Kluyveromyces lactis: one gene and its partners. The protein of the gene in region 1 interacts with the protein of each later gene in a pairwise test. Links are inferred from orthologs where the notes say so. Each region holds a gene or a part of one and is shown on either strand. Other genes may lie near its edges.

What was found.
Region 2: the proteins of KEX2 (region 1) and FTH1 interact in a protein complementation assay, tested with the Saccharomyces cerevisiae proteins (2 studies listed by BioGRID). The link is inferred for Kluyveromyces lactis from reciprocal best matches to the Saccharomyces cerevisiae genes KEX2 and FTH1.
Region 3: the proteins of KEX2 (region 1) and KEX1 interact in binary tests that used the Saccharomyces cerevisiae proteins (3 or more experiments, as listed by UniProt). The link is inferred for Kluyveromyces lactis from reciprocal best matches to the Saccharomyces cerevisiae genes KEX2 and KEX1.

Annotation. Positions count from the first base shown.
Region 1 is NC_006040.1:1,671,732-1,675,822, reverse strand, and holds KEX2 (kexin KEX2), read left to right. Parts: upstream 1-1,214; coding exon 1,215-3,485; downstream 3,486-4,091. Other genes in the region: iron-sulfur cluster assembly protein NAR1, read right to left, coding at 1-416; YTP1 (Ytp1p), read left to right, coding at 3,951-4,091.
Region 2 is NC_006042.1:2,588,703-2,591,959, forward strand, and holds FTH1 (Fth1p), read left to right. Parts: upstream 1-1,300; coding exon 1,301-2,623; downstream 2,624-3,257. Other genes in the region: MFM1 (Mfm1p), read left to right, coding at 1-764. UniProt on the Saccharomyces cerevisiae protein: High affinity iron transporter probably involved in transport of intravacuolar stores of iron.
Region 3 is NC_006042.1:922,791-926,747, reverse strand, and holds KEX1 (serine-type carboxypeptidase), read left to right. Parts: upstream 1-1,406; coding exon 1,407-3,335; downstream 3,336-3,957. Other genes in the region: ARO8 (bifunctional 2-aminoadipate transaminase/aromatic-amino-acid:2-oxoglutarate transaminase), read right to left, coding at 1-179; KLLA0_F09977g (uncharacterized protein), read right to left, coding at 3,408-3,957.

The DNA of each region.
Region 1 (4,091 bases):
AACTGGGTACCAACAACATATTTCGCATTGAACTTGGTTTTCATGAAATTTTGGAAACATCGATCGAGGTCTGCAAGGCACATAGAGTAATAGTCAGCCAACGAAAGTCTACATTGAGGAGATATGCTGACAGCTAGAGATCGTTCATCTAGTTCTTCCAATTCGCTCCATTTTTCTAAGAACACCTTATGGCTTTGCTTCGATAATAAAATCTCTTCTGATGAAGTAATGCAACCAGCACAGGCTAAACAGTCTTGCAAACTGATCGATACCTTCTCAGGCTCACTAGATTCAATGCCAACTTCAACTTCAAATGATGGTTTCTTCTCAACCTTTTGAGGTTGAGCTGGTTTCACACACGCCAAACCTGGGCTTATAAAATCGTTCAAATCGGCATCCCTAAGTAACGCACTCATTGTTTCTTTCTATCTTAAAGATCCTCGAAAAAGAAGCTAAGCAGTAGTAGTGTTTTCAAATAAAATAGTCCTTAGTATGCAACTTGAATCGTTTTTGGCTTTGTATTCTGAACGTTCTTATATGGGCTTCTCTTATGCTACTCTGAGTCCATCACAATGAAATCACTTACTAATAAATCCTCTGTCTCAGTTTCTCTTATAATTTCTTTTGAATTGACTAATCAATATGTCAACATCGCAAGTGTCATGAATAACATATTCTCATTCACGTGACTAAAACTTGATAAAGATACCCGCCTTTGATTTTGTTTACGGCAGAAACTGAGAACAATTATTCTCACCGCCGACATGCTTTCGGTTTGGATTTCTGCTTTAGCATTGAGGTTGAAAATTATATTATTAGATCAGTGCCAAAACTGTGATGTTTTATTATGAACTGAGACATCAGTCGAAAAAGTGGACATAAGAAAGAGATATAGTGAAAGAAATACAAATAAACCCTGCACTTGGCTTTGCTAGAGGTTAAACATAGAAGACCTGTTAACGATTAGGTACGTTTAGAAGACTTTCTTATCGAATCGGGTTGCTCTTTCATGTGTTACACGTCTTTTATACAGCATAAAAATAAAGGCCATTCCAAAAAGTTGTACAATACTAAGGGTCTAGTACAGCTAGACAAATTAGGTGCAATCTCTAAATCAGGATATCAGCTCTACGCCGGGCAAGTCATTGAATAAGATTTTCCACTTACTTATTACCTTTTTCCCTTAATATTCCTTAATTTTCAGAACGATAGTTATGATCCTATCGTCGCAGCTCATGCTAGCTTTAATAGCAGTGTCAGGATACGGTAAAGCAATGCAAGTTCCTAAAAAAGACCACGAAAATAGGCAGTATTTTGCAATTGAATCTTATGATGATGTAGGTAATCTACTAGCGGAACACAGTGACTGGAGTTTCGAGCACGATGTTCGAGGCCTTGCCAATCACTATGTGTTCTCGAAACCGTTGCAGAGTTTGGGTAAACGAGATGCGATTGACACAGGATATTCAGAAAACATCATTGATTTCCACGATCTACCCCCCGTTCAGTTACACAAAAGATTGCCTATTGGGGATTCTAGTATGGAACAAATCCAGAACGCTAGAATTCTTTTCAATATTTCTGATCCATTGTTTGATCAGCAGTGGCACTTGATCAATCCAAACTACCCTGGAAATGACGTTAACGTAACTGGTTTATGGAAAGAAAACATCACTGGCTATGGTGTAGTGGCAGCATTGGTGGATGATGGATTGGATTATGAGAACGAAGATTTAAAAGACAATTTCTGTGTTGAAGGTTCTTGGGATTTTAATGACAACAACCCATTGCCGAAGCCAAGGCTAAAAGATGATTACCATGGTACCCGCTGCGCAGGTGAAATAGCGGCTTTCCGTAATGATATTTGTGGGGTTGGTGTCGCCTATAACTCTAAGGTATCCGGTATCAGAATTTTGTCAGGCCAGATCACAGCCGAAGATGAGGCTGCTTCATTAATTTATGGACTAGACGTTAATGATATTTACTCTTGCTCGTGGGGTCCATCTGATGACGGTAAAACTATGCAAGCGCCGGATACATTAGTAAAAAAGGCAATCATAAAAGGTGTAACAGAAGGACGAGATGCAAAAGGTGCACTATATGTATTTGCGAGTGGGAATGGTGGTATGTTTGGCGACAGCTGCAACTTTGACGGCTACACAAACTCTATATTTTCTATCACTGTAGGTGCCATTGATTGGAAGGGCCTACATCCTCCATATTCTGAATCATGTTCTGCTGTAATGGTTGTTACTTATTCTTCGGGATCAGGAAATTACATAAAAACAACAGATTTAGACGAAAAATGTTCCAATACGCATGGAGGCACTTCAGCTGCAGCTCCTCTTGCAGCTGGTATATATACTTTAGTGCTGGAAGCTAACCCGAACTTAACATGGCGAGATGTACAATACCTCTCAATATTGAGCTCTGAGGAAATAAATCCGCACGATGGAAAGTGGCAGGATACAGCTATGGGAAAGCGTTATTCTCACACATATGGATTTGGAAAACTTGATGCATATAACATTGTCCATATGGCAAAAAGTTGGATCAATGTAAACCCACAAGGTTGGCTTTACCTTCCTACAATCGTTGAAAAACAGTCTATCAGTAATTCAGATGAAGTTATAGAATCCACAGTCTCAGTTTCTGCTGAAGAGTTTAAACAAAATAACCTAAAAAGGTTGGAACATGTCACTGTAACTGTCGATATAGACGCACCTTACCGTGGACATGTCTTAGTAGATCTAATATCGCCTGATGGAGTTACATCTACCTTAGCGACAGCTAGACGTTTAGATAAAAACCGCTATGGTTTTCAAAATTGGACTTTCATGTCTGTCGCGCACTGGGGCTCTAGTGGAGTTGGAAGCTGGAAATTAAAAGTAAAGTCTACGCATGATAATGAAATTGTAACACTCAAATCTTGGAGATTAAAGATGTTTGGAGAAACTATCGATGCAAAGAAGGCCAAAGTGATATCATATGGAAATGACAAAGAGGATGCTGAAGTTAAGAGTACCGAATCTAAAACCACAACTCCCACTGCACAAACTTCGTCATTCACGACGACTTCTGGAGAAGAAACATCTGGTGCAAATAAGTTGCCTCGTCCCGAACAGGCTGCCCAGTTATACTTGGCAATTTTTGTCATTGGTGCGATAGTCATCATAATTTACTATTTGTTTTTCTTAAAATCAAGAAGAATAATCAGAAGGTCTAGAGCAGAAGCTTATGAATTTGATATCATTGATACCGACTCAGAATACGATTCTTCGATTAATCAAACTGCAGAGTCTATATCTGGTGAAGTAAATGATGATAACCTTGAAGACTTTAACTTCGACATAAATGAAGAAGAGCTCTCACCCCGTGAAAGTTCAAGCAATAATCCTTTCGGGAATGAATCTCTGGAATCTTTCGACAATTCTCCTGATCATACAAGCAATTTACTAGGGCAAAACTCGATTCCCAACAAATAGAAAGACATAGCATAACCAGTTCATAAGAGATAAATCTCAAAATACTGACGTTTTCATATAGAAAGATAGGTTTTTAGCCTCGAAGTCATATCGCTTGATGTCCAATGATACAAAATGAGCTAAAATGGATGGAATTGTTGCATCATCAACATACTGTAGGCGAATCTAGGATTCATTTTCAATCATGAAATAAGAAGTAACAATTTCCGCATTCTCAAAAAAATGAATCAGAAGTGGAACATAAAAAAAAACATGTAAAACTAGCATAGTTTAAGGTGATTATAGTTAATGGGATATAAAGGATTCTGACATGTAGTTCATTAACAGGGACAGTTCCGACTCACGATTTCACTGCAACGATTAAAAGGAACTCATTCAATTGTGATTAGGGTTAAGGATCTATTATCTCAGTTATCAACTACTTCTATTTTGACGTCGTCCAAGAGTTTAGGGTGGAAGGGTGTAATGACAATGTCTCGTAACTATCTGTGTCTTTTGACCTGCATGTCTCTGGCGGCTGCAATGAATATGGATGATATAGAGGAATATACAAGACCTGAAATTAACGCAGCAGGTAGCAAAACCTTCCATTGGTTGGCATCAATG
Region 2 (3,257 bases), on another chromosome or scaffold:
TTTCTCAACAGAATTTCATTGCGGATTTACAACTGAGATTACAAAATAGAAGCGGTTTTGAGGTACCAGATGTTGTGAATAAAGATCCTTTGCCTTACGAGTTTAGAGCAGTAGAGTCCATTTTTATTTCGGCTATATCTAACCTTAACGCAGAGCTCAAGGTTCACCTGAATGTTTCAACGGGTATTTTGCAAGACTTAGAATATAGTATTACTAGAGATAAGCTACGGTATCTTTTGATTCAAAATAAGAAACTTAGCGTCTTTCACAAAAAATCTTTCTTGATGAGAGAAATGATTGAAGAACTATTAGAGCAAGATGATGTCTTGTGTGAAATGTACTTGACTGAGAAACAATTAGGGAAGCCTAGAGAAGAGCATGATCATGCAGAAATTGAAATGCTTTTAGAAACTTATTACAATCATGTCGATGAAATTGTTCAAACTGTAGGAAATACAATGTCCAATATCAAAACTACAGAAGAAATAATCAATATCATTCTTGATTCAAATAGAAATCAATTGATGTTACTTGGATTGCGTTTCAGTATTGGTTTACTCTCGTTAGCCGGTTCTATTTTTATTGCCTCAATCTACGGTATGAACTTAGAGAACTTTATAGAGGAAGGTAACGTTGGATTCCCCGTGGTATCGACATTGGGGGTTATTCTAATGGCATATCTGTTTGCATTCTCCGTCAAACATTTACACAAGTTGGAAAAGGTTCAGTTAATGAGTCATGGAAAAAGCTCTACGCTAAAATAAAACTATTCGAATAAGTGCTCCTAACGTATTGTGTAAATACTCAAGTTAGGGTAGCATTGGATTTTCCAGCTCTTAAATGTTTTATGAATGTTGTGTATATATAATGTGACATATAAGCATCTAATGCAATTCGCATTAGAATACATACTACTCGACTGCTTCTATCTTTGTTCCAGCGAAAAACACCTGGCAGAATATGATATTAAGGTATAAGCAGTAGTGAAACGGATTGAAACTGTCCGATATTCTAGAATGTTTCACGACTGTATGTTAATATGCAGTACCAACCTATTGTTAAGTTTAACGTATCTTCATTACCCGGGAGAACGATTGTATCACGTGATCAAGGTCGTTTTTGTCCTGGCTCTTGAATGGGGTGCAAAAAATACAATTGAAGACTGGAAAGAAATACTATTATTACATTTGAGATTGAATCATTATAGAAATTTGATAACGGGCTATAAACTGGTTCTGGTTGACAACATCCACGTAAGCGACGAAACTTATAAGCTAGTATAAAGGATCTTTTATTCAAGATGTCAAAGTCAAGTTTTGAGAATTATTTCTCGTTTCAAATTTTTTTCATCTTCTTGAGAGAGTCGTTAGAGATCATCATAATCGTTTCCATCTTGTTGACAATCGTCAAACAAGCCTTATTCTCGCATGATACCACCGCTGAATCCGATACAGAGTCTTCAAAAAATGCTGCCCCGGTTACCATTCAAGAGGAAGAAGCTTCAGATTTATTATTGAGAGTTAATGACTCCGATTCTCCAAATCTAGGTCTAGAAGTTGATAACCAGCAGTTATATAAAAAACTAAAACTTCAAATCATTTCTGGAGGTTTGTTAGGCCTTTTGGCATGTATGTTTATTGGTGGTGGATTTATTGTGGCATTTTATTATGTTGGCACGGATTTGTGGTCTATGAGTGAACATTATTATGAAGGTGTTTTAAGCGTTATTGCGTCTGTCATCATTTCAGTTATGGGATTGTTCTTCTTAAGAATGGGTAAACTTAGAGAGAAGTTCAGAGTTAAATTGGCATCCATCATTTACTCAGACAAATTACTTCCGATGGAAAATGGCGAAAGCAAAGCTAAAAGTTTCAGCGAGAAATACTCATTATTCATCCTACCATTTGTTACTTCTTTGAGAGAAGGGCTAGAGGCTGTCGTCTTCATTGGTGGTATCGGTATCGATAGTCCATTAACCTCTATTCCACTATCGATGCTTTCTGCTACGGCGATCTCGGCAATTTTCGGTGTATTCTTCTTCAAATACTCAAAGTCGTTTTCATTGCAAATTTGCCTTGTGGTAACAACATGTTTCCTATATCTTATTGCCGGCGGATTATTCTCCAAGGGTGTATGGCAGTTTGAACTTCAGAAGTATGTTGATGCTTGTAACGGTCAAGATATGAGCGAAGTTGGAAACGGTCCAGGTTCTTATGATATCTCGCGTTCGGTATGGCATGTTAACTGTTGTAACGGTGAAAGGGATGGATTTTGGATGATTTTGACCGCCATTTTTGGATGGACTAACTCAGCTACCTATGGTTCAGTTAGCAGTTATATTATGTACTGGTTAATTGTTATCGCTGTTATAAAGCTAATGATGCTCGAAGAGAAACATGGATATATTCCATTTTTGCCTGTCAGTCTACAAAGAAGGAGAATGAACAAAAGATTATCTATTATTGAAAAGTCTCTTGCACTCAAATCTCAATCATCCACGAGTGGCTGGAACTCATCTTCCACTACCAAAAACTTGCCTGATATTCCGAGAGCTTCATCGGATACTCACAATAGCTCTAGCCTCCTGTTAGATTCTAATTCGCCTGCTCAAGGTTATCAGTGATGAAATAGTTAGCTATTATTCTTCAAAGTTGCATGTAAACGAATCATTTTCTTGCGTACGCAGTTGCTCCATTTGGAAAAGTTACTTAAGAGAAATACTATATACTATTTAGAAATTGCTGTTGTAATATAACACATTACGTTGGATTATAACAAGTATTGACTGTTTTTAAAGGTGACGGCATGTCAATGTGGGCTGCTGCATGATTACTTACATATTTCTTTTTGGCATATTCTGTCGTTTGTTTGAATACAATGTTCCCTTTTGTACTTAAATTCGAAAAGTCCTTCAATTCGGCCAAAAAAAAATGAGCAAAAAATAAAGATATGATCACCAAAATCTGGGGTAGCGGGACAGTATATATTACAATAAACACCGAAAGCGGTTCACTTGTTTCTAACTTCAGCTTCACTCAGTGAAAACCCGATGTACATGCCGCTGTTATACAAAATCAAAGATTTCACTTCATAACTATAATATCTGTGCACACAGCAGGTTTAATGTCTCACTCAGTGTGTATTGCCTGTGACTTTGACAAAGGGTGGATTTCTTTGTTTCTGGGATCAATATATATTCTACCACAACATGGGAATCTAACACTCTAAGTAACATTTCACCCAGTTGAGATTCTTAC
Region 3 (3,957 bases), on another chromosome or scaffold:
GGAGATTCCACAGTCAAGTTATCCCATGGGAAGTAATCAGACATTGGTAAACCACCACCCAAAAAGATCAAGTTTGGATCATTGAAATAATGTATAATTGACTTCAATTGAGAAGGCATACGACTTTTAGTCTCATCACTGTACAAGTGTGAAAAATCCTTAGCAACACCTTGAGTCATGATGTAATATGTATTCTCGGTGAAAGCTTTTGGTTCAATTTAGATTGGTTTGATGCTAAGCCAAGATAATATATCTAAAGTATATAAGAATTACAAACAGTGTATAAACCAAATCTAACTGTGTAAACTGCACAAACTAATCCTTCATAACGCGAATGTCTATTCTATCTTTTCATCTCGCAGCTGCTTATATATACACATATTAACATATACATGAGGAATACTGTATGATTCACTACAGCATATACCATACTGGTAAATTTCTCAACTGAAATTGAAAAAAAAAATTCCAGCTGAAAAAGTAACTTTGGAGAAATTTGACTGCAATTAGGTACAGACTTTTAAGTTTTAGAGAGAGCATACTGCGTAAGACTGATAATAGAGGGAAAAAAATAAAGTGCTCGAGATAAAGGTTGTCACTTAACGATAACGACTGGAATGGCTACATCTTTACATCGTAATATCTTTAGATCTTGTGACTATTCTTCACAGGGTTTCTAGTTTTAAGTTGATTTCTGTAATTAAGGTGTCAATGAGAATATGCCATGCAGTGGTCAGCATCGCGGTAAGTAACGGTTAGTGATGCTGTTATTTCCGAGGCAAATGTCTTTGTTATTTTAGGCATTGGGTTTCCTGGTTTGACTTTTTGCCCTGTCGGTGTTTCGTTTTCTTTTTTCAACTACGGTAAAGTACGGTTAGTTGCGGTAACTATGGGGTAGTTGCGGTATTGGAGAGTTCGATCCATGACTCAGGGCCTATTATGTGACTTCTTACCACGGAAATTGTGACCCATGTATTTCCTTTTGTCGTTGACAGGTTTTCATGTTAACAGGCTTTTGGTATTAGTCACGCGATATATATATATCACGTGACTGTTTTTTGCTTACATAGATTTTCTTTTTCAATGGAGGGATATACTGCCAGTGCCAGTTTTGAAAGTTTCGTGTATATTAAAGCTAAATAAAGGCTTGGTAAAAATGAAATTACTTAGGAATATGGTTTTGCTGGGGTGAATCAACGTTAAAAACGCCTATTTGGTTCAGACCTCGCTGTTTATTTCAGTTTGTTAGACATTTATAGGGCCGTATTTGTGTTATAAAAGGTTGCGCTGTGACTCTCGCTCGATATTTTTTATTCTCTTTTTTATCATTTCTCTCTTGCTGATATTAACAGTAAGGTTTCATGGATGAATCACAACAATCATTAGAATATAATTAGAGTGCTGTCATGTCTCTTTGGCTTTTCTTTGTTCAAACGGTTCTTCTCATTCAATGTGCATTGGGAGGTCTTCCAAATGCCAAGGACTATTTAGTGGCCCCCGATTTGTTGCCTGGGTTAAATGACGTTAAAGATAAGGAACTTATCCCGGAAATGCATGCAGGTCATATTCCCTTAGATGATGGTGATGATGATGATGATGATGATGAGAAAAACTATTTCTTTTGGAAGTTCCATGACCTCGCAAATCAGACGTCTGTCGTCGCATCCAAAACTTTAATTATATGGTTAAATGGTGGGCCTGGATGCTCATCTTTAGATGGGGCTCTTATGGAATCAGGTGCGTTACGGATCGATGACGACGGCGAAGCCTATTTAAATCCGGGTTCTTGGCACACTAGAGGTGATATTGTGTTTGTGGATCAACCTGCTGGTACTGGCTTTTCCACGGTAGGTGATTCGAAATATGATAAAGATTTGAACCAAGTTTCAAAGCATTTCATGAAGTTTTTAAAGAACTACTTCAAGATTTTCCCTGATGATTTGGATAAAGACCTTGTTTTGGCAGGAGAATCGTATGCTGGTCAGTATATTCCATTCTTTGCTAATGAAATCCTAAAGTTCAACTCGAAATTGGACAAAGACGACAATGAGGAGGAAAGCCGAAGTGGTAAGAAGTACAATTTAAAGAGTCTGTTGATTGGAAATGGTTGGATTGATCCTGATCAACAATCCTTATCTTACATTCCTTTTGCTTTGGAGAATAACTTAATTTCAACGAAGGCTGATTACTTCCCTGATTTATTAAATATGCATAGTCGTTGTCAAAATTTAGTCAATAATAATGGAGGTAAAAAGTTCTCCTTTGATGAATGTGAAGATATTTTGACCAAAATCCTTTATTACACCCGCAGAAAGACAGATGAAAATGGGAATAAAGTTCCTTCAAATCAGGAGTGTACGAACATATATGATTTTAGATTATTCGATTCCTACCCAGCTTGTGGAAGCAACTGGCCAGATGATTTACCTAGCGTTTCTAAATTCTTGGGTAAGCCAGGTGTGATGGATTCGTTACATTTGGATGTTGATAAAGTCCCACATTGGAGAGAATGTGACAGTAAGGTGAGCAGTCATTTGAAGAACAAGAACACCCAGCCTTCGATTCATTTGTTACCCAATCTATTGAAACACATGCAAATTTTCTTGTTCAATGGTGATAAGGATATCATTTGCAACTCAAGGGGTGTGCAGGATTTGATTAAAAATATGAAATGGAACAATCATACCGGATTTACTAATGATGCCGAATACTATGACTGGCAATACTACGACCAGTTTACAGATGACACAATTTCTGCAGGTTTTGTGAAGCACGAAAGTAATTTGACGTATGTTTCCGTGTACAACGCATCGCATATGGTCCCTTACGATAATGCTTTAATCAGCAGAGGTATTATGGACATCTATTTGAAAGATGTAGAGTTAGTAGTCGGAAAAGACAATCAAGATGATGTTATTATCTCAAAAGACTTCGTTGTACACTCGGACCACTCAACAGGAGAAGAGGAATTGTCAGCTGATCAAAAACAAGATGAAGATGAGAACTCGCACAAGGATAGACACCGGAACTCTGATAAATTCGAAATCGCTGTCATACTTCTGGTCGTTTTCTCAATTACCGGTACCATTGCATATTATTTCTTGCGTGAACGTTTCAGAAAGCAAATACATGCTATTCTAATAGATCCGGAAAATAGGCCACCTTCATCAAACAAATCCGTTGCATGGGCAGATGACATAGAAAACCAGGGCGATGATTTTAAGTTATCCATTGACGAGGCACCCTCTACTGCGGACAAACCAGCAAAAAACAAATCTGGTTATACAAAGGTGCCTAACACTGATGACGATTCATTCGAACTTGATAACCTATAAGATAGAGATATTTAAGTAAAAACATTACTATATCAAACGCTTAAACTTGAGTTACAGTTTTTTTTTGGTTGTTCATTGTAGCTTGAAAAGCTTTTTCAAATGTCCTTGTATAAACCACGTCTTTTTCCTTTTATTTGGTGATATGAGACTATTCGTGAGACTGAAAAACGATCCTTCATGCTGTATCGTTTGTACTCTTTGTGGAAAAATGGAAGATGAACAAGAAGTTACCGATGAATCTACTAGAGATATGTCTGTATTCATCGCATATTGGTGTTTACGCCAGAATATAAGGATTTTCTTGAACAAATGTTTGTAACTATTAGTCTTCAGTGGTGGTCGTTGTGCTTCTTTATAAAGGAGAGCAGAAAGTGATTCTTCAGCAGAAAGATAATTTTGCTGCCTTTCTAAGGTATTGATAGTATCTAATGCTAGCACTTGTGCCCGAAATTCTATCAAGATTTCTTCAATTTTCTCGGGGGATACGTTCACTCCTAGCATTTTCAAATAGTTCAATTCGTCAGCGTCATTAATATAAAAGAAAAAAGGGTCATCATCCAGTAAATTATTGTTCACGTTACAATCTAATGCAACACGTGGTATTTTGCTGCTGTGATGTCCT